Linked DNA regions of Mus musculus: regions 1, 2, 3, 4, 5 and 6 are each reported to be linked to region 7. Evidence: microRNA targets listed by miRTarBase, many of them from high-throughput screens and not tested one by one. Region 7 holds a microRNA gene; each other region holds the end of a gene's coding sequence. Distances are from middle to middle.
The links. The annotated mature microRNA mmu-miR-3087-3p reads UAACUCACUGUCAUGUCCUCA and lies in region 7 at 1,274-1,294, shown strand. An mRNA with a match to its seed (bases 2 to 7 or 8) in the 3' UTR can be bound and repressed. Matches are read on the target gene's strand: a 7mer-m8 pairs with bases 2 to 8, a 7mer-A1 pairs with bases 2 to 7 and ends in A, and an 8mer does both.

Region 1: miRTarBase lists Ccdc85a as a target of mmu-miR-3087-3p. Seed matches in the 3' UTR shown: 7mer-A1 at 1,111-1,117.
Region 2: miRTarBase lists Lgr5 as a target of mmu-miR-3087-3p. Seed matches in the 3' UTR shown: 7mer-m8 at 1,858-1,864.
Region 3: the mRNA of Fam20b is a reported target of mmu-miR-3087-3p. Seed matches in the 3' UTR shown: 7mer-m8 at 1,707-1,713.
Region 4: the mRNA of Dkc1 is a reported target of mmu-miR-3087-3p. Seed matches in the 3' UTR shown: 7mer-m8 at 1,918-1,924.
Region 5: miRTarBase lists Rasgrp1 as a target of mmu-miR-3087-3p. Seed matches in the 3' UTR shown: 7mer-m8 at 2,004-2,010.
Region 6: the mRNA of Vps72 is a reported target of mmu-miR-3087-3p. Seed matches in the 3' UTR shown: 7mer-m8 at 2,499-2,505.

What each region holds. Positions count from the first base shown.
Region 1 is chr11:28,386,356-28,389,437 of GRCm38, forward strand. Ccdc85a (coiled-coil domain containing 85A) reads right to left here. Exons shown (of 5, transcript NM_181577.5): 5 at 1-2,593. The coding sequence ends at 2,504. Among named protein-coding and RNA genes, the nearest start is that of Ccdc85a, 200 kb to the right of the region's middle.
Region 2 is chr10:115,449,510-115,452,581 of GRCm38, forward strand. It overlaps Lgr5 (leucine rich repeat containing G protein coupled receptor 5), which reads right to left. Exons shown (of 18, transcript NM_010195.2): 18 at 805-3,072. The coding sequence ends at 2,505. Among named protein-coding and RNA genes, the nearest start is that of Zfc3h1, 66 kb to the left of the region's middle.
Region 3 is chr1:156,678,653-156,681,734 of GRCm38, reverse strand. It overlaps Fam20b (family with sequence similarity 20, member B), which reads left to right. Exons shown (of 8, transcript NM_145413.4): 8 at 93-3,082. The coding sequence ends at 324. Among named protein-coding and RNA genes, the nearest start is that of Tor3a, 5.9 kb to the right of the region's middle.
Region 4 is chrX:75,108,319-75,111,400 of GRCm38, reverse strand. Dkc1 (dyskeratosis congenita 1, dyskerin) reads right to left here. Exons shown (of 15, transcript NM_001030307.2): 15 at 1,625-2,705. The coding sequence ends at 2,640. Mpp1 (membrane protein, palmitoylated) reads left to right here. Exons shown (of 12, transcript NM_008621.3): 12 at 558-1,668. The coding sequence ends at 734. Among named protein-coding and RNA genes, the nearest start is that of Gm25520, 8.5 kb to the right of the region's middle.
Region 5 is chr2:117,279,957-117,283,038 of GRCm38, reverse strand. Rasgrp1 (RAS guanyl releasing protein 1) reads left to right here. Exons shown (of 17, transcript NM_011246.3): 17 at 363-3,056. The coding sequence ends at 497. Among named protein-coding and RNA genes, the nearest start is that of Fam98b, 32 kb to the right of the region's middle.
Region 6 is chr3:95,122,429-95,125,510 of GRCm38, reverse strand. It overlaps Vps72 (vacuolar protein sorting 72), which reads right to left. Exons shown (of 6, transcript NM_009336.2): 6 at 2,460-3,082. The coding sequence ends at 2,733. It overlaps Tmod4 (tropomodulin 4), which reads right to left and starts at 997. Exons shown (of 10, transcript NM_016712.4): 1 at 933-997.
Region 7 is chr2:25,441,540-25,444,621 of GRCm38, forward strand. Mir3087 (microRNA 3087) reads left to right here and starts at 1,240; the gene lies at 1,240-1,295. Abca2 (ATP-binding cassette, sub-family A (ABC1), member 2) reads left to right here. Exons shown (of 49, transcript NM_001368624.1): 26 at 1-60; 27 at 336-572; 28 at 652-858; 29 at 1,111-1,213; 30 at 1,296-1,615; 31 at 1,690-1,903; 32 at 1,990-2,095; 33 at 2,187-2,298; 34 at 2,388-2,448; 35 at 2,531-2,705; 36 at 2,786-2,901; 37 at 2,983-3,082.

The DNA of each region.
Region 1 (3,082 bases), not on the chromosome of region 7:
GGAAGCTTCTGCCAAGACCTGAGATATTATTCATCCTTGTATGTCTTGAGAATCCCGAAGAACCATGGTTGGCTAGCCCAAAATTGTATGGCAGTGGTAGGCATCACTAAATATTCACTGAACTAAGGGGAAATCATACCAATTAAACTCTTGGAATGTCACATGAGCTGACAAATTCCTACAGAGCTTTAAGCATGTGCTAAAAATGAGAAAGGCATTCATTAAAAGTTAGATTGTGACAGTCTATCAGCATCATGGCAGCTAAAAGTACTGTCAAGACATGTAAATTAGGCTTTGTTGCAGGAATGATTAGATAGTAAATTTATTGAAATGATCCCATAGGAAAACAGTATTACTCATGGGATCAATGTACGCCATTACTTAAAACTGGTATAATGCTCAGCACAGGAAGCCTCATTTTACCATCTTATTAGCAACTTCTAAGAAGCCTTATGTGCTACTATAAAATTTCCCACAAATACATAAAATAATGCTGATTGTTTCAAAACTATTTTAGTATTTCCATTCCAAGTATAAGTTTAAGAACTGAGAATTTTATTAAGAAAATTCAACTGTTCCTAAATCATACTCCTGGAGGCTATAATAGAAAATGGTATAAATTAAGATGTCTCTGACTATTAAGTCCCTCATAAGCATATTTTTAATATGCCTTTTGCATGTCTTTTATTTTGATCTATATTACTACTAGTATCATAATCACACAAGGGATGATATTCAGTGACTATTAGAAATTTATTCTGTTAAGGAAGAACATTTCAAAACAGACAAAAATACTGTGAGATTAAATAATTTATTACTGTTGCTAAGATGAACACATATACTTAATACTCAATTTTATGTGGAACTTTAAAAAAATAGTTTTGATACAGTATCAAAATTTGCACAAGTATTTTGTCAAAAGACCAATGTCCTTTGTATCGCTACTGCAGGATCTACTGCAAGCACAAAAATTTGTTTAAATATCTTCAGACTGTAGGAATACAACAATTGAAGGATGTTTCTGTGTGAGAAAGTATGTGTGTGTGTGTGTGTAACAATTTTCTCTTAGACACTAAAACTATAGCAGTTTAAAGGAAGAGTCTTAAATTATAACTCAGTAATGATAATTAGAAAGATGATTCTATGTTAAATGAACCCATAAATATTTTCAGAAGATAGAGGGCGGTTTTGGAAGTAGCAATTAGGTATTTTTACTATGGCAAATTTCTTCTCATTCTCCTGCCAATGTTCATTAATAAATTATATAATAAAACCATTTCATTTATAGACAACAAAGAATATTGACTGTGAATCAAATCATAAGTTTAGAAGCTATCCAGGAATTGTTGCATCCCTACTTTATAATCTTAAACTATGGTAAAAACAGCATTCTGTCACAGGCCTCTTGAACATTCATACAAGAAACGATCATTAAATTTAGATAAACACAAAATATCATAGCATTTCCAGTACACACATTCTAATATTATACATCTATACCACTAGGCAGAAAACTAGCAAAGCTGGCACACATCTCAAGCAATCTGAAAAGAGTATTTAGCCTCAATAATGGACATGCGTTAGCCTCCTAAGACATTAGATAGCTGCAGTGATATGCAAAGAAAGCTTCTGTTTCCTAGGGCAGTGCAAGACTTTAAAGTTTACATAAAGTTTATTAAGTATACAGCATGTCTAAAAACTAAGTTGTAGAAACAGACAATGTCACAGCTTGAAACTCCTAGAAAAATTAATTATGTTTGTTTCCTTGTTAGTTGACATTGGTAAGTTGAATATATATGAAGGGTTGTATGGTCCAAAGACATGCCTTTATAAACAACTCATCAAAATTAAATTATTTATCTTGACCAAATGAAAATAAATGATACTCTCTGCTAAGCATTTTTAAAAATTCCTCCTACCTTTCTAGCTGGTAAAATATTTTGTGTTATTTTTTAGCACCTCAGAATTCAAATGAGAAAACCAAATGTTATCTTGCATCCAACTAAATTTGCATCAGGAAGCAATCTTTCCTCAACTGCTATATATATGAGGGAGCTTCCCAACCCAGGTTGTATGCTCAAAAATACTTTTTCATATCTTCCACACAGTAGAAAGCTCCTACCATTAGATATAATGAACCACCTCTATCAAAGCCACAGGGACTCTACTGGACTCATCCAACCATGCAGACTACCCAATATGTCAATCATGGTTGTGAAGAGTCAAAAACATTTCAGCTTTCATGAAATTAATACTTTCATTAATACTAAAACGATTTTCCAAAGCTACCTTGAGACTGCTATGAACACTAAAGTTGAGACTTATAGCACATATTAGCTGTATGGGAGAAGGTACACTAAAGGATTTAGAAGGGAGATATGAGCAATGTACAATCACTCCATGTGATGTCATGAGTTTTATTTTGTAGAAACTGAATTTCTTCTTTGTCTTCTTTTTCTGCTGTCTCTAGTAGTGATGATGTCATGTTTGAAGGCAGTGCTTTTCACATAGGCCCTTTGTACTGGTTTCCTGACAAATGTTGCCTAATTCCAGGACAGGAGCCTGCAGCATCTCCAAGTTTCCTCCACACAACCTTAAAAAAAAAAGAGGTGAGTAAAATTAGGTGTTATCTTGCAGAAACAGATGTGATTTTCAGAGAAGACTATGAGAGGTTCAAAGATGGGTGCAAAGACGAGACAGACTCTCCACATGGGTGGGTTGAAACACAAAGTAAAGCATGATAGTGACAACTTTGTGATGGTGACAACTTTTGAAACCCAAGAACTTGTCAGCAGCTAGGGTGCTATACTTTACTCCAGCAACCAGGGCTGGTATTTTAAAAAGACATAACATCTCATGCTAGCTATCTGAGTGGTCCTCAGCCCTGAGTTAACAGTAATCACCACATGCAGAAATTCTGAGGATGCTGGCAGAAAGGAGGTAGTGGTATCTGTATATTTAATTAAAGTTCCCAAAGTAATTTCCATGTGCATTTAGAATCAAGACCCCTTGGTTAAAAGAGCAAACTGGCTTCTATAAAATACAGCTATAACAAGAGATGCAATGTCTAATTCATTTAGAA
Region 2 (3,072 bases), not on the chromosome of region 7:
GTAGAGGTGTGTTCTCTGTAACCTGAGTTGGAAGGGATGGAGCCAAGAGGGAGAAGCTCCTATTTTACCCAAAGATGAATTAAGTACAGACTGCACAGCGGGATCCCGTTAACTAGGGTTGGGATTCAGGATACGGTTAAGTCTGATGGACATGGGGTAGGTAGTGCCAGCAATCCTGGGAGTGTGCTGTGAGCATTGGCTTATAGCAGTCGTGCTGGTCCTCCATCGTATACAGTCCAGGGGGGCACAGGCAGAGCCTTTTGAAGTTGCTAGTCTGACATGGGGTGTCTAGAAAATTATATTTCCTGTGTTTTGGGCAATGGGAACTGAATGGTAGCAGTGCATTTTATTGTATGCTGGGAGTGAATGTTCTTGACATGGTCATGAAATGTGTGTATATCCACTCTAGGATATATGCACATATATCCACTCTAGGATATATACACATGTCCACACCTTAGACAATTTAAGATTGGTTTGCTTTTCATATGTTTTTCTTATTAGGCTTTAAAATGTTTTTTTTTCTTATATTACTAAGAAATTTGAAACTAGTTTGTAGACTATCATATCCAAATCCTCATGGGGGACAACAAATTACACTAAAGCCACAACTTAGGAGTTACAGGGAAGATAATTCAGAAGCTAAAAAATATATTTTGGTTCATTCTCATGAAAAATTTGAGTCCAACATATCTAAAGGATTAGAGCACAAATAGGTAGGAATATATACACCAGTACTTAAAAACATTAGAAGATCGTGCATTTGTCTACATTCTCAATCAATACACTTGAAAGAGCTAGTTTGTTTTGCAAGTCACACATTTTATTACAAATTTATTTTGAGCCCAGTAGAAAAGCAAATTCTGGATCTATTTACAAGCACTACGTATTTACATGTGTTATGTACAGTTAATGCATTGGGGAAATTGGCAGAGAAACAATATGTCTGGGAGAATAGGCTACTGTACATGGTTTATTATCATGTTCTTTAATGTCACTGCATTTTTCCTGTAGCAATAAATACAAGTCTATATGTACACATCTTATAAAACATCTCATAAATGTATTTTTTTTTAAATTCCACATTAAAACATCTGGTCAAAATAAAACATGCTTATATAAAAATAAATCTACCTAATGGCCTTTTGGTTCGGGTGCAGCAAAGCTAATGTAAGATCACAGAAGTTAAGAATAAACCTTTCGCTCTCCAGATTTAACAATTTGTCTTGAAACATCGAACACCTGCGTGAATATGGACTAAGCAGAGAAGTAATGAACTTCATATCAAGTGGTTGATCCGGAAACAAGACACAGCTAAAACCAAGCTAAATGCACCGAATCCTACTTTGCCCAGTTTCTGTTGAGTCCGAAGTGTGGAGAGGCATTGTTGCTCGAGCTACCAGAGATGGGTGTGTGAAGTTACACAGTGGACTTAACGCCCTGCGTTTGAGCACTGAAAATGCACAGCCATTTGAGAGAGTGATGAACATCTTGCCAGAAGCATGCTCCTACTCAGAAATAAATACAGATCCGACAATTTCATACTGTCTTTCGTAGCTATGACCACGGCTGACAACGAACTTTCTGAGCTTCAGACTCCAGGATTTTAAAAGACGAATCAGGATAACCAAATCTTACCTATATATAATTGCTCGAGGAAGATAACCAAATCTTACCTATATATAATTGCTCGAGGAACCATTTAAGTTAATGTTCCAAAAAACCTTGAAACCAGTTTTATCTCAGCAAGGGAGAATGCACTGGATACTTATCTATATAACCCAGTGTCTTTTTGTTGTTGTTGTTGTTGTTGTTTTTTGAGACAGGGGTTTCTCTGTATAGTCCTGGCTGTCCTGGAACTCACTTTGTAGACCAGGCTGGCCTCGAACTCAGAAATCCACCTGCCTCTGCCTCCCAAGTGCTGGGATTAAAGGCGCGCGCCGCCACGCCCGGCTTAGAAGCCAGTATCTTAAATTTATATATGGATTAAAAATGTCAGTCCAAGAAACTGGTGTCTTGGAAGGAGCCTGTCCGTCAAAAGGCAAAAAGACACACAACCATCTCTGTGTAGCCATTAAAACTAAACTCTGTGGGCAACATAGCCCATTAAAGATCCTTTTTTTTTTTTTTCTTAAAACTCTAACCTTTTAAACAAGGAATTTGTGGATTTAAATACACCCATTGAGTCATCCAACGAGTCTTCTCACTATGGGAGACTATGCTGGTGAGTCAGAAGAGACTACAATGCGAAGAGCATTTCAGGCTGCTTTTCTCATCTGGGTTCACCTAAGTGACTTGATGGCTTTCCTTCTTAGCTGAACAAATGATACAAGCGGTGTTTAATGATGCTCTCCTGCTCTAAGGCACCACTGTTTCCACACCAATTTAGAGATGTTTGCTTGGGTTTTAAGGTAGGTTTTTAGCTCAGCTTTTCTTAGCTACTGCTCTGATAGAAATCACTTTTCAGGTTTCCAACTCTTAAAAACGTTCCTCTCTCATAGTCACTAGAGACATGGGACAAATGCAACTGAAGAGAGATGACAGCTTTCAGTCATGGGGTAAGCTGGTGATGCCCCGGAAGTGGAAGGCAAGTCATAGGCTATGCTGGCGTGGGTAAAGGATACTAAGGCTTGGGTTGACTCACAGGACCGTTTCTCAACATCGTCCGAGTTAATGGACAGCAGACTCGCGTGTTTTGATCTCATCCAGAAACGGGTATGCTTTCCCAGGCTGCCCATATCCTCCTTAAAATGGGGATTGAAGACAATGTAGAGAAGTGGGTTGAGACAGGAAGGAAGTGGGACGATCACGAGAAGTATAAATTTAATGACGTCAGGACTGATAAAGGTGAGGTTTAGCAAAGAGGAGAAGGATAAGAAAGCCACGGGGCAGTAAAGGATGCAGTTGGCGAAGAGCAACAGAGCAATGTGCTTCACCATCGAACAATCCCAAAGATTCTCCAGCTCTCCTTTCTCCAAACTGCAGTAGAGCTTTGTGTAGGCAATGGTCATTATGAGGAAACAGAGAGAGTTGAGCAACACGAGAGCCACCATGTAGCCCGTGGTGCTGGGC
Region 3 (3,082 bases), not on the chromosome of region 7:
CGATTCAAAGAAACAGACAAACAAAAACCTTTCATAGCATGAATTGAATATTAAGATGTTATGTAATTTCTTTTTTAAACTTTTTCTTCCAGCATTCGGGTTTCAACCTGGAATAGACTGAATTATCTAAAGAATGGAGTACTAAAGTCTGCCTTAAAATCTGCCATGGCCCATGACCCCATCTCCCCTGTGCTCTCCGATCCACACTTGGACACTGTGGACCAGCGGCTTCTGAATGTCTTGGCCACCATCAAGCAGTGTACTGACCAGTTTGGGACGGATACTGTGCTGGTGGAAGACAGGATGCCACTCTCCCACTTGTAATTCTCAACGCAAAACAAGTGGAACTGATTTTACAAAGATAGAGAAACAGCACAATCAATTCCAAATGGCATGCGATGGTCTGCAGGTGGCCACAGTGGGTGCTGGTGGCAGAAGACGGTGGCGGCCCTGGGAGTGCTCGGTGTTTTCTGCAGTGCAAGCTACGGACCACAGTTAGGCTGCCTCACCTCTCAGGCGGCCAGCAGCAGCTCTGCTCAGTCTTTATTCCCACACCAAAGGGCGAGCAGGTGTGACATTGGCTAAGGAAGTGTTTCCAGAGTGTGCGTCTCGGGTGACCCTTGCTGTCTTTTCTCTACACCCATGGATTCTCTGAAAATACTTTGCAGTTCCTTGTGTCTTAAAAAAACACAAAAACAAAAACCAGAACTAGTCAGATTGAAACCATACTGTTCCTCCAGAGCGGCGTTAGACAGGATAGCGGTCCGCACCGGGGGCCGTGTTTAAGGGAGATTGGAGGAGGGGAAAGGCGGAAAGGTCTTGGGACTCTAAGCTATTGGGTGGCATGGATTTGACATCTCAGGGAAGAGAAGAGGGAGGGACTCACTCTTTAGAACCAGGAAGATAATTGACTTAGTGAAAGACAGCTTCCCCTCTGTTTAGGTTCTCAGATATGTCCAGAGCAAATTAGTCATCCCCCGGTTGTGTTCATATTAACCACAATCATCTCTAGAGGAAAGAGTATTACAACCCAGGCATGATCCTCTATGGACACTAACTTACCCCATGTCCACCTTTGCCCAAAAACACTGAAACTGTGCTCTCTGCCACCTGCCCCCCACGCTTTTTCTTTTTCTCTCTTTGGCATTGTTCATTTTGAGGTAGACCATAGACTCTAGCCCAGGCTGATCTGGAGCTTACTGTATAGCCCAGGCTTTGAACTGGCCTTAGCCTTCCACATGCTAGGATTATAGGTATGAACCAACATGCCCAGCTCTCTCTTCTCTCGTGAAGTCATACCCTGTGAGTAACTGGCCTGTAATGGCGCTCTTCCTAGGACAGTGGTGACCTTGTCTGTGCCGGTGACTGCACCCTGCAGGTAACAGTGAAAGCTTTTAAGCCTCTGAGCCTCGAGACTGGGGAGATTGAGTTTATACCCCCTAGTCTCTCACATTCAAATCTAGTAGCCTGTAACCACTTTTAAATGGCTTGAAATTAGGAAACTTGTACATTTAATGTACACTTTGCGGTAGATTAAGGAATATACTGCATATTTCTTTTTTTAAACTCGGGATATTGAACTTCAGAAAACAAATATTAGCACAAAACACTAAAATAGTGTTAACAAAAGGAGATATTGAGCCAGGCAGTGGTGACACGCACACCTTTAATCCTGGCATTTGGGAGGTAGAGGCAGTCAGATCTCTGTGAGTTCAAGGCCAGCCTGGTCTACAGAGTAAGTTCTAGGACCAAACCCAAAAAATAAAGCAAAAACAAAAGGAGGTATTAAGTCCAGTTTCCAGGCTACTTGCTGTGTACATCAAGAAAATTCAGTTGAATTCTGAGATTAGCATGGTTATTAGCACTTTATGCTGGGAGCCAGCAGAGTGGTGGACTTCCGTGCTGACTAAGCTGTGGCTCAGCATTCCATTGCACACTGGTGAAGTGAGTAGGGATTGTTCCCAGGCAAGCAGCCGTACTCGTCATGTTTTCTGCGGAAAAGAACAGGCAGGAAAGCTGCTCCGAGCAGTTAGAGAAAAGCCGCCTCACACTGTGTTTCACACTCGGGCAGTAAGTATTGTAACGCCGGCCTCTTTTTGGGTCATTTACTAGATTAGGACTATTACATCCAAGGCACTGGGGGATTCTGGTGGGCTCCAAATTAGCTTTACTGATTGAACATCCACAGAGATGGAGGCATTTAATACAAAACCAGGAACTCCGAATCCATTGCTCTTTCCTCCTTTGCTTTCACTTCTTAAGTATATGTGTTCTGAAGTTGAGATGGGAGAGATTTGAATATAGAATTTTTATTCTCAAACTGTTTAGTCATCTAAGGCTTCATTGTACTTCGGGGAGAGCTATAAGTAACTCACCTTTAAAACAACAGGCTCTGATTTGCTGAAGAGGTTTGGTATTTTTTAAGGTATGTCTCCCTGTTTGCACTCAGGGTTAAAGTGTCAGACTAAATTTTTAGAAGAAAACAGAAATTCAGGTGTGTGTTCATTATAGGTTATTCAGCAAAGTGGACCCTGACAGTTTCTCGGTTTCCCCAGTGCTGAAGACAGCATTGCCATCCAAAGAAACTCACATTTTCTTTAAAGCTATCACACTTTGTCTTCTTATCCCCTGCTTCCTGTTCCTTCAGCCTCCCTTCCCTTTCCTTCCTGGATCTCTGATTATCTTGTGATCATAGCACCTGCTGTCGGCACACTCCCGTGAGTCCTGTGGTCAGGGTTTCAGGATAGGAGGTGGAGGTTTGGGTTAACGTGGGAAAATGTTCTTGCTTTGACACAAGGAAGTACTGAGTGGCTGCACCGAGAAAGGACTTGGCTAGTAAGGTTAGAATGTGCATCGCGCATAGCCGAGCAGCCTGCTAGCAGGTGACACACTCCGTGGGGGAGGCTCTTCTCCCCTTCTTTCTCTAGTCTGGGTGGTGAACGGGCTGACACTGCTGTCACTGGTTCTTAGGACCTAAGGTGGTCCTCATAAACTCCTGGGGGAAGCTGGGAGCAACTTCCTGGGAAGCTAATTTATTTGTCTAAAGGGTGGTGTGGGCATCACCACCCTTGTTTGATCTGCC
Region 4 (3,082 bases), not on the chromosome of region 7:
GCCACACACACTTATTAAAAGTTATTTGTATTGCTTGTATATCTGGCCATATCCTTAGCTCATGTTTCCATTGAGTTAGTGACTTCATCTAAGAATTCTATATTATGGTACTTCCCTGTAATGAAAGTTACAAATATCCCCACCACCACTATGACACATATTTCTCTATCCTTTTGCCTTTATGTAGTTAACTGACCATTGGAGCCAGAGGCTTGAGACTTGTCAATAAACTTTCTCCCTTATCCTTGGATTATAGCTGTAGTAGTTGCTAAAATGGCTTTTCCATAAACAAAGGGCTAAAACTAAGTGAATGCTAGTGAAGGCTGTGCTAGGTAATTAGGGTTAGTTTGGCATTCATTAGAATAGTTAAGTGGTTCTCAACCCCTTTGGCAAACATTATATTCTTAATTGGTTACCTAGCAGATACTAGGCCACAGGATGGATCACCACCATGCAAAAAAACAGATGGGGAACCAGTTAATGTAAACTTGTTTAAATCTTCCCTTTGCTGCTGTGATTAAAGACTGCTGCTTCATCTATGGCTTTCTTCTTTGCAGACTGAAGCCCTGCAGCAGCTGCAGAAGGACTCTGAGGCCATCCGTAGTCAGTATGCTCATTACTTTGACCTCTCTTTGGTGAATAATAGTGTTGATGAAACTCTTAAGAAATTGCAAGAAGCCTTTGACCAGGCTTGCAGTTCTCCACAGTGGGTGCCTGTCTCCTGGGTTTACTAAGCTTACAGAATTGGCAAACATGTTTCAGCCAGCATTTGGAATGCCACCTCCCCGCACCCCCTCCCTTGCTTAAGCCAAAAGGGTTGCTTCAACTTTTAGCTCTGCTGTTTTCTTACTCAGGCTCCTAAAGGGGTGAAGCTTTCCTACTATCTACATTTCAAAATGATCTCTGGAAAATTGCCATAAGAATAACCAAATGCAATGCTACATAGATAAACCAACTGTCCCCCTGAAGCCTGAGCTCCTTTGCTTTCAACTATAGAATGTCTTTTTACTCTGGAATAAATATCTTCTGAAAACTTTCTAAAATGCCAAAATCAAACAGCTGTGCAATAGAATGTCTGCTGTAGGGAAAATCTTCCAAAGCAATAAAAATGCTGCTGTGTTAAAGTACCCGTGACCCTGTAACTCCATTCCCAATCTTAACCTTCCAAGCAATGACATTAACATAAGATCTCTGGGAATTACCTGTCACTGCCTCTATAGGTCTGGTATTCACAATGCACAAAGGCGTCTTCTCTAGGACTTGTTAAGTCGTAAGAGAATGGTTTAAAACATGTTACAAAAGCAGGGGCTGTTTGGGCATTCTATACCTGCCTATGCTATTAACAATTTCCCCTAAAACTTGTGTTTATATTCTTGGTTTTGGGCACATATTTAAGCAAAGTTCCCTGCTCCCTCTGCAGTCAACACCAAAACTGGCAGTTTCCTACCTGGAGTACCTCCAACCTCTTCACAAGCCCAGTACAATATAAATGCATCTACCCCTTTCCTCTTAACCCTGGATTAGTAATGATCTCCCTTGAGAGCAGATAGGCCCCAGTGCCAATGTAAGAAAGACTCAGAATTAGGAAATTTAAAAGTAGCCAAAGGAAAAGCAAATTCAAAATAGGACATAAACCTCAGACTTTTAATAAAAATATTCTCTCACTTTTGTTGCCAGTCCAAGATTATCATAGTAAATCTAACAGGAATACTTTTTAAAAAAAAAAAAACTACAAATTACATTCTTCAGCAATGAACAATTCCATTCTGAACAATTCCATTCTTTTTTTTTTCTTTTTTTGTTTTTTTGTTTTTTTTTTTGTTTTTTTTGTTTTTTGGTTTTTTTGTTTTGTTTTTTGTTTTTTTGGTTTTTTTTTTTTCGAGACAGGGTTTCTCTGTATAGCCTGGACTGTCCTGGAACTCACTCTGTAGACCAGGCTGGCTTTGAACTCAGAAATCCACCTGCCTCTGCCTCCCAAGTGCTGGGATTAAAGGCATGCGCCACCACGCCCGGCAATTCCATTCTTTAAAAGAAAACAAATAGGAAGGTACAGGAATGCTTTGGCTTCCATAAGAAACACAAGTAGCCATATAGAGAAATCCTGTTGTACACAAAAATACAGAGTACTAGCCTAAATATCATAGATACCACCAGGCAAGGTTAATACCTGAATAGAGCAGTCCTCATAGAACACTGGAGATAAGAGTCCCCCAGTGAACATAGTTCAATTACATTTTTTCTCTCACAGAAGGTTCTATACCATTTTATGTAGCAGATTTAATTTTTACCAACTTTTTAAAAAGCAAAGTAGGAGAGGACTATCTATGGCATTGTTGAAAATGCTCATTAGTAAATAGCTGCAGATAGTTACTAGGCCATGCCATGTCTAAAGGTGTGGCTTCCTCAAGCAAGCAGAGGGGTTGGTGGCAAAGGCCTGATTTTATCTCTCATATCCTTAAAACAGGACAGGATGGGATGAGATGGCCACACCAGCTAACCACTGAGGTCACAAGTGGCAGCTAAAAGTATACCAGAACTTTCTACTCTGGGACCTCTGTTCTCCCTCAACAAAAAGTTTTTCCAATAAGGCTTTTCTTTTTCTTCCCAGCTGGACATAATGCTTCCAGAAGTGGCTTAAACTATTCAGACATCTCTTCTACCACTTTTACTTTCTTCTTCTTTTTCTTTTTGGTGGTGTCGTTGTCCTAAAGAAAGAGAAAGTAAAAGTAAGTTCAATGTACCCACTGACAAAACATTTATGACTACTGTTCCCAAAAGAAATCTGACAAATTGCACAGTCAAGTCTGTTCAAAAATCTAAGACATTTGGGGTTAAACAAATTTTGCCTGTGACCTTCTCGGTGAAGTCTTAGAGAGATCTACTTAATACACCTTCCCTACCCAGCAGCAACATAATTCAACCATGATCCACTGTTCTGAAAGGCTGGGTGCCCCTACTTCTGTGTCCAAGAAGGTAGACAAGGCAAATCTAGAACACAGGGCAGCACCAAAAAAGGCAATGGTAGGAACCCCACTCTCGCACAATTCCTGTCAAAGACTCAGCTGACACAAAGGCACACCCA
Region 5 (3,082 bases), 92 Mb from region 7:
AAGCACTGCTTTCATAGTTCAGAACAGACCAGACCAGACTACTTTCTGTCAAGTTACGATGCCTGCGTCACACTACCCAAAAGTTGTGGCTTCCTCCACCCAATGCCCAAGAATGGATTGTTCTGTCCTGCTAGCCACTCACATCTGAGATCTGATAACAAAGAGTAATTGCTATTTGTGCATGCCCATGATAGTTAATGTGTTCTTTTATACTCACAGCTAAATAACTGCTTTGAAAATAGTTTATAATTCTTAACCACAGGGAACAGGAGATGCCAATCAAATATAATGCTCTTGATACTGTCACTAATTTCCTATTCACTGCTGCTCTATTACCACACCTTATTCTCATTTCCTTTTAGGAAATAAATACCCTGAAAGCAGATAACGATGCTCTGAAGATCCAACTGAAGTACGCACAGAAGAAAATAGAATCCCTGCAGCTTGGGAAAAGCAATCATGTCTTAGCCCAGATGGACCACGGTGATAGTGCTTAATCCAGAATTTCAAGGACCAGAATCTGCAGGAGGGTATACTGGGATCTCACTTCAAAACTCATTGCAGACGTTCAGCACCTTTAGATTGACTGACTTTAAAAGGGTAGAGCTGGCCACTACTGTTGACATCCTTGGTTTTTACCTAAACGGTTTTTAATGTGAGTCGTTGGTTTTCAGTCAGTTGAATCAAAGGGAAGAAAAGCTCAAGCATGCAAAGTCTGAGCATTCCTATTCTAACCTTCTTTCTTTACTGAAACCAATACCAAACATGCGCTAAAATAAGTCTAGAGTTTCCTGAGGGTGTCCCAGGCAGCCCGCTTTACTGATTCATACTTAGATAAAGAGTCCCTGGTGAATCCATTTGCTGCCTTCCGCAAACTGACTTACTTTGTTCTACCCAAACCCCGCTCATAACGGAAACAATAGCCTAAGCGTGGTGACTTTGACATGCCTGCATTGTTTGTGAAACTGATCCCTACAGTGTTCGCTACCTCAGACCTCATCAAGAGCCTCTTTCCCCACTGTCCTTCACTTGCCCGCCTCCTTCCTCCCTTGCTTATAGGCACATCAGCACATCTACCTAGAAGTGAACTCCTAGCGATGTAGCCTGGTTTTAAATCCAGAGCTTCTTAATTGAACTTGACATTGTCTAATTGCAGGCCAACTTATAGCTCTAGGTCTTAGTCATTATGAAATACAAAATAAAACTCACTCACTACCCACAAACAGCAATTACCATGGCATACACACAGCTAAATAGCTAAGTCAAACCACAATAACACGTTTATCCAGATAGTCTTTCTATAGTGGGTAGAATTAAGAATCTGTGACTTTTTAAAAGAAATGGTCTGTGAACAGTGTTTAATTCTTCATGTTCTAGTCTCTCTCTCTCTCTCTCTCTCAAGTAATCTATCATAAGGTTCTCTTTTGAACTGAATTTGTGCTTAAGTTGTCTTCACTTTTATTATCTACAAATAAGCTAATGGGTGTGACGGCTTTCATAGCTGGCAGTATTTACATGTGTGTAGAATGTATATATATAGTATCAGACATGCATGGAGCTTGGACCTTCTCCCTTAGAAAATGCAGACGTGAATCAAACACCTTTTAGTCACTTACACAAATTTGCAAGTATAGTTCTGCTCATTATAAGGCAAACTGCTAACAATGTAAATTGTTCTGCTTAACAAAACCGTGAGTAACAGTGTCCCAGTATTCTTTCGTGAAGGTTAAAATCAGTGGGTTTGTCTTGTTGCCTGTGAAGCAATTCACAAACTCTCTTGTCAGCTTCCTTTTAGCTTTCAAAAAACATCTCATCTGATTGTGTCCTTTTGAGGAGACTGTTTCCATGCTAGGAAGGTCTGGCACCACACTAACTTGTAATTTAATATGCAAGACAAGCAATTTAAGAGTCTCATCGAACTAAATAAGTTCCAAACCTAGCTGGGCAATGGGGACACATGCCTTTAATCCCAGCACTCGGTGGGTAGAGGCAGGCTGATCTCTGTGAGTTTGAGGCCAGCCTGGTCTACAGAATGAGTTCCAGGACAGCAAGGGATATGCTGAGAAACTCTGTCTGGAAAAATCAAAGGAAAAAGTGTTTAAAAGTTTCAACCCTACGACCAAGAGCATAAAGTCTACAGAGGAATATGAACTGTACATGGTGCTGCCCCCTAAAGGACTCAAATCATTTAAGATATTCCTTTGATGAAAGACCACTGCCTGTTTGCACACCTCTTTGGAGCATTTCAGTGACAAAGAGCTGGCTTGTGGTGAGTGTCTCTCTAAACTTTAATGAACTACTTTACACACAGTTATCCTTCTTCTACATCCCATCTCAGAAACGTGAAAAGCATAGCACCTGGTACTACGCCTCTGGCAGGTGTCTATATTATGTGGAAACTTTTATGGAGTGATAGGACTAATGGAAGACCTCAAAATTTGTATTTTCACTCTGTTATGCACTAGTACAAGTGTAGAGCTTGATTCTTTAGACAATGCCTTTTTCTTATTTCTCATCCCCAATAAAGATCTCCCAGTGAGATTTTGTGTAAATAATCTGTAATATAGGAATTCAGAGGGCCTCAGTCATTTATCACAGCTAGATGACCTTACAGACAGCAGAAAGGACAGGAAAGATAGTGGGAGACAGTAGTTTTCCTCACAAATTCTTACATTCCAGCCAAGACAAAGGATGTGTGAAGTCTGAGTTGGTACTGTTCCTGCAGAATGGTAGGAGCAGGTGGGATCTCCTGATACAATCTGGAACAAAGTTTGGCCTGTCACATGAGGTTTTGTTTACCAGGCTGTCTTGAAATGTCTGGGCAGATGGGTGTCTGCCAAAGCAAGGACTGATCCTGTCTGTGAACAGCAATGTCTCTGCTCTTCTTCTCTGTGGAGTGACTCACCCATTTACTGACCACTTGTGAAATTGTCTAAAGATGTATACTGTAAAAGCTTCGAAAGAACTGTACAAACTGTAAGATATTTTATACCTATTTTATGTTTTCTGTGTCTCATATTTATATCATAAAAACATTGGATCCCTATAACTTCAAAGTCGTGTGCTTCTTCACTTTATACAT
Region 6 (3,082 bases), not on the chromosome of region 7:
GGGACATGAGAAAAGTTGTTGGATGTGGACACTGAGGGCACAAGAAGTCCAGCCATAGTTAGGACACTGACCTTAGAGACTAGAGTCTGCCAGGGATGGGAAAATCAGATAGTTCACTGTTAGTTTCCCTCCTAGTCCCTGCACTTTCTAGCCATTCTAGATGGGGATTCTAGTCTCCAGGCTGGGTCTATCCACCCACCGTGCGATGGAGAAATCCTGGTAGCACCCTCCCCTACAACCTTACCCGGCAACGTCTCTTGCCCTGACACAGCTGCTGGAGGCCCTGCCAGCACAGCTGGCTCCACGCCCAGTTCCTATTGAAAGGTGGGAGGGGGAGGCAGAGAGCTCCAGGAAAATTCCTCCTTTCTTCCCCATTACCCAGGCCTGTTGGAAACTGGTAAGCAAGGAGGCTTGACTGGGTTAGAGTGGTTGCCTCTAATGACACCCTCACTCCCTCCTTCATTGTCAAGGACCAAGACCTCACTTTCTGTGTTTGCTAAAAGTCTAAATCAGAAGGGAAAGTAAGGCTTAGAAGCTGGGGCACTTCCAGATTGGGGGAAGGGCAGTGTGGCCTCAGAAGGCATTCGGTTCCCATAATCTGTCACCAGAAAGGTGACACTGGAACCCTGGGTAAAAGAAGAAGAAGAAGAAAAAAAAGTCTTCTAAATGAGGAGGTGGGATGATAAACTTGCACCACCTTTCAGTGGGAAAAACAGTCAAGCTCTAAATACATACCACACTCAACATGGAAGGTGATACTGAGCGTGAGGCACTGACAAGGCAGCTACAGAGTCAAGACAGAAACATCGGCGGCAGGACACAGCAGAGACATGCCAACTCTCTTCCCCTAGGCCCACTCTGCCATCTCCCACCAGGCTCTCACCCGTAAGACCCCTTGTTCCCACCTACCAGTCCCAATGGTCACCTCTCACCTCCCCTTGTCAGTTGGTCCGTCTGTTCTACTGGGACACTGTCCGGTCAGCAGGAGGAGTCTGGTGCCGGGGGAGAGCGTGGGGGAACAGTGAGCTCAGCATTTTATTATTTTAGCTCTGGCCAGGTGGGGAGTGGTGGGAGATCACATATACACAGACCCCATACCTTGCCCAGCCCTGAGAGCCTCTAGTGGCCAGTATCAGCCATGACATGTCCTCTTTCCCTGCAAGCAGAGTCCTCCAGTGGAGAATCAGATGACTCCTACGGTAGGGTACCAGTTCTGCTCAAAGCACTGAATAGAAGATGATGTATCAATGTAACAGCCATTGTGCCTCACACCTGAATTCCCTTGACAGGGGACACTAAGATAGGACTGCTACAAGACGGAGAGCAGCATGAACTTCATGGTGAGCTCAAAGCCTTGTAGTAATTTTTTTTTCCTTTTTAACTTTTTTAAAAGGGAGAGGGGGCACATGCCTTTAATCGTAGCACTTGGGAGGCAGAGACAGGCAGATTTCTGAGTTCAAGGTCCAACCTGGTCTACAGAACAAGTTCCAGGACAGCCAGGGCTAGAGAAACCATGTCCTGAAAAAACGAGAGAGAGAGAGGTCTCAGGTGGTTAAGACTGCTGCACAATTGTGAGGTCCCCGCACCTACATAACAGCATAACAGGGTGGCAGACACAGGAACATTGGGGGCTTGCTGGCTCCTGATAGCCTAGAGAACAGGAGCCCAGGTTCAGAAAGAGAGCCTGTCTCAAAGGATAGGTGGAATTACAGATGACCCTGCCTGGCCTCTGCATAGGTGCACCACCCGACACGTGGTTGTATACATAGACACATACAGAGACACACACACTCAGTGTAAGGATTTTGTTCTGGTATTTAAGAGACTATGTACTGGCTGGTTTTATGTGTCAATTTGACACAGGCTGGAGTTATCATGGAGAAAGGAGCTTCAGTTGAAGAAATGCCTCCATGAGATCCAGCTGTAAGGCATTTTCTCAATTAGTGAACAAGGGGGAAAGGCCCCTTGTGGGTGGGACCATCTCTGGGCTGGTAGTCTTGGGTTCTGTAAGAGAGCAAACTGAGCAAGCCAGTAACATCCCTCCATGGCCTCTGCATCAGCTCCTGCTCCCTGACCTGCTTGACTTCCTTTGGTGATTAACAGCAATGTGGAAAGTATAAGCTGAATAAACCTTTTCCTCCTCAACTTGCTTATTGGTCATGATGTTTGTGCAGGAATAGGAACCCTGACTAAGACAGACTAAGAGAGTTAAATATGGATAACCCAGGTAAGTGTAATAAAAATGATAGACATGAGTGCAGGCATCTTTATGACACCCACTACTTAGTAAATACATGCTACTTAAAAGGACAGAGCAGGAACAGTGATTTACCCCTCTAGGCCCAGCGCTTGGAAGGTTGACATGGGAGGCTTGCTTGAGCCCAGGAGTCTGAAATTAGTCTGGATAAATTAGCAAGAACTTGTGGTTTATTTATTTATTTATTTGTTTTTTTTTTTTTCCAAGACAGGATTTGTCTGTTTAGCCCTGGCTGTCCTGGAACTCACTCTGTAGACCAGGTTGGCCTCGAACTCAGAAATCCCCCTGCCTCTGCCCCAACCTTACACATCAGACAAAAAGGATTTTACCATTTTATTAGATTAAAAAAATGAAGAGCACAAGTAAATGAAATGAACTAGGGAGGAACTGAGGGAAACAAGGGCGAAGGTTGGCAGAAGGGAGGGCGGAGTGGAGAGCCAGGTCAGGAGAGGGACTGTCTAGGGGTCAGGTGTCTCTATTTGATGACAATCTTCTGACGCAAGGCTCGAGGCCCAGAGCCAGGTAGTGGCTCGGGGGGTGGGGGCCCGGGGCCCAGCGCCGAGGCGGTGGGTGGAAGTCCGTGGGCAGTGATGTACTTCTTGTACGCCTCACGGATGATCTTGAAGGCTCTAGCAGTGGCATAGGGTATGTCTGTAACAGGGTCCCGGTACAAAGCTGGACGGTGGGTCACTGGGCAGACCTCCCGCACCGGGACCTTCGGGGGTCGCCCCTGGGGGAACCACTCTTCAAACGTTGCATCATCACTGAACGTGATGAAGGTGCGAGAGCAGTGAGCAGGAGGGGTGGCAGCGGCAGCTCCAGTCC
Region 7 (3,082 bases):
TGGAGGAGGTGTTCCTCAAGGTGTCTGAAGAAGATCAGTCACTGGAGAACAGCGAGGCTGGTAAGAGCACCCAAGGCTGGCGGTCTGTCCAGCTACCCACAGAAGGCCCTGGGGACACTGCTTCTCTGTAAGTCTCTGGAAGTGGGGTCAGGATAGGCTCGTGGTGGATGGTATGGTAGCTCTGCCTACCTGTGAGTAGGTATGTGAATTAGAGGCTGGGATCAAGGCAGGGCCTGGGGTTATGGGAGGACACTAGGGACTGAGGTACTAAGATGTCCTGGAGAGGAGAGCCTTGGCCCAAGCCTTCCCTCCCTCACCGCCTCTGTTGTTTGCAGATGTGAAGGAGTCCCGGAAGGATGTGCTGCCTGGGGCAGAGGGCCTGACAGCTGTGGGGGGTCAAGCTGGCAACCTGGCTCGGTGCTCAGAGCTGGCACAGTCACAGGCATCGCTGCAGTCTGCATCCTCTGTGGGCTCTGCCCGTGGGGAGGAGGGCACCGGCTACTCTGATGGCTACGGTGACTACCGTCCCCTCTTTGACAACTTGCAGGACCCAGACAATGTCAGCTTACAAGGTGGAAGCCAATGGGGAAACTGGGGAGGGTCCAGAAGGGTGGCGTGGGACTGGCTATTTACCTCTGCCTCTCTGCACAGAGGCAGAGATGGAGGCCCTGGCTCAGGTGGGCCAGGGCAGCCGCAAACTCGAGGGCTGGTGGCTGAAGATGCGGCAGTTCCATGGGCTCCTGGTGAAGCGCTTCCACTGTGCTCGTCGGAACTCCAAAGCTCTCTGCTCTCAGATTCTGCTGCCTGCCTTCTTTGTCTGTGTGGCCATGACTGTGGCGTTGTCTGTCCCTGAGATTGGTAAGGGTGCCTGGCCCATGTGGTCTGGGGCGAGGCTACTGTCTTGCCCCTGGGTCTTGGCTTCATTTTTCTCCCAGCCCCCTGTAGAACAGTCCTGAGCTCCTCTCCTCACACTCTGAACCTTACTCAGGGGCTCATGAGAGGATCTGTCTCCTTAGGAGTCATCCCCACAAGCTCAGCCCTCTCTGTGTTAGGGCTGGGGCTGGCATCAGATAACTGCAGTCTGCTCAGGTCTCCGTATTCACCCATCAGGTGACCTACCTCCACTGGTCCTGTCACCCTCTCAGTACCACAACTACACCCAGCCCCGTGGCAACTTTATCCCTTATGCCAATGAGGAACGCCAGGAGTACCGGTGAGGCCGTGGGCTGGGGCTGTAGCACAGGGCAGGGCAAGAGTTGAGACTTATGGCTCCTAACTCACTGTCATGTCCTCAGATTACGGCTGTCACCTGATGCCAGCCCCCAGCAGCTGGTGAGCACATTCCGGCTGCCCTCTGGTGTGGGTGCCACTTGTGTGCTCAAGTCTCCTGCCAACGGCTCCCTGGGACCCATGCTGAACTTAAGCAGTGGAGAGTCCCGCCTGCTGGCGGCACGGTTCTTCGACAGTATGTGCCTGGAGTCCTTCACACAGGGGCTGCCACTGTCCAACTTCGTGCCACCTCCGCCCTCACCCGCCCCTTCTGACTCACCCGTGTCCCCAGATGAGGATTCACTGCAAGCCTGGAACATGTCCCTGCCACCTACTGCTGGGCCAGGTACTACCTCAGGGAAGGCTCCGGGGGGCACAGGCATGAGTGACCCATCTCATTGTGCTGCACTGTGCCCACAGAGACGTGGACGTCGGCGCCTTCTCTGCCACGCCTAGTGCATGAGCCAGTCCGCTGTACCTGCTCTGCACAGGGCACGGGGTTCTCATGCCCCAGCAGTGTGGGTGGACACCCACCCCAGATGAGAGTGGTCACAGGTGACATCCTGACTGACATCACTGGCCACAATGTTTCTGAGTACCTGCTCTTCACCTCTGACCGTTTCCGACTACACCGGTAAGTTGGCCTGAAGTGGCTGTGAACAAGGGGTGCCTGGCAGATGGCTGCCGAGCCTCAGTGACCCTCCCACCTGTCTTGTACAGATATGGAGCCATCACCTTTGGTAATGTTCAGAAGTCTATCCCAGCATCCTTTGGTGCCCGGGTCCCTCCTATGGTGCGGAAGATTGCAGTGCGGAGGGTGGCTCAGGTAGGCGGCTGCCCTTGGGTTTTGGGCACCTGGTCCTAAGCCTAATAACTTTTGGTTTCTGAGCCTCTCTGAGGTCCTTGCCCCTCCCCAGGTGCTCTACAATAACAAGGGCTACCACAGCATGCCCACCTACCTCAACAGCCTCAACAATGCCATTCTGCGTGCAAACCTACCCAAAAGCAAGGGCAATCCAGCAGCCTATGGTAAGGAGAATCAGGGTTGAAGGACAGGCAGGGATGCAGCTGAGCCGAATGGTTGCATGGACCTAAAGCTACCCTTTTCCCGTGTGCAGGCATCACCGTCACCAACCACCCCATGAACAAGACCAGTGCTAGCCTCTCCCTGGATTACCTGTGAGTGAGGCAGACCAAGTTGAGGAGGGGCAGGACCACCTCGTCCTGACACCTCCTGGAACTGAGTGCTGTCCCCTTCTAGACTGCAGGGCACAGATGTGGTCATCGCCATCTTCATCATTGTGGCCATGTCCTTCGTGCCAGCCAGCTTTGTGGTCTTCCTTGTGGCAGAGAAATCCACCAAGGCCAAACACCTGCAGTTCGTCAGCGGGTGCAACCCTGTCATCTACTGGCTGGCCAACTACGTGTGGGACATGGTGTGCCCCCGCATGGTCCCTCCCTGTCCCTGACTCCCATCCCTACGCCCGGGTCTCATCCTCCACCTTCACCTTTGCAGCTCAATTACCTGGTCCCAGCCACCTGCTGCGTGATCATCCTCTTTGTCTTTGACTTACCTGCCTACACATCACCCACCAACTTCCCCGCGGTGCTCTCCTTGTTCCTGCTCTATGGGTGAGCTGGGGAGGGGTGTGGAGCATGTATGGTTGTGGGTGTGGCTGGGGGTGCCCTGTGACCACCACTGTTTGTCCACAGGTGGTCCATCACACCCATCATGTACCCAGCCTCCTTCTGGTTTGAGGTCCCTAGCTCAGCCTACGTGTTCCTCATCGTCATCAACCTCTTCATCGGCATC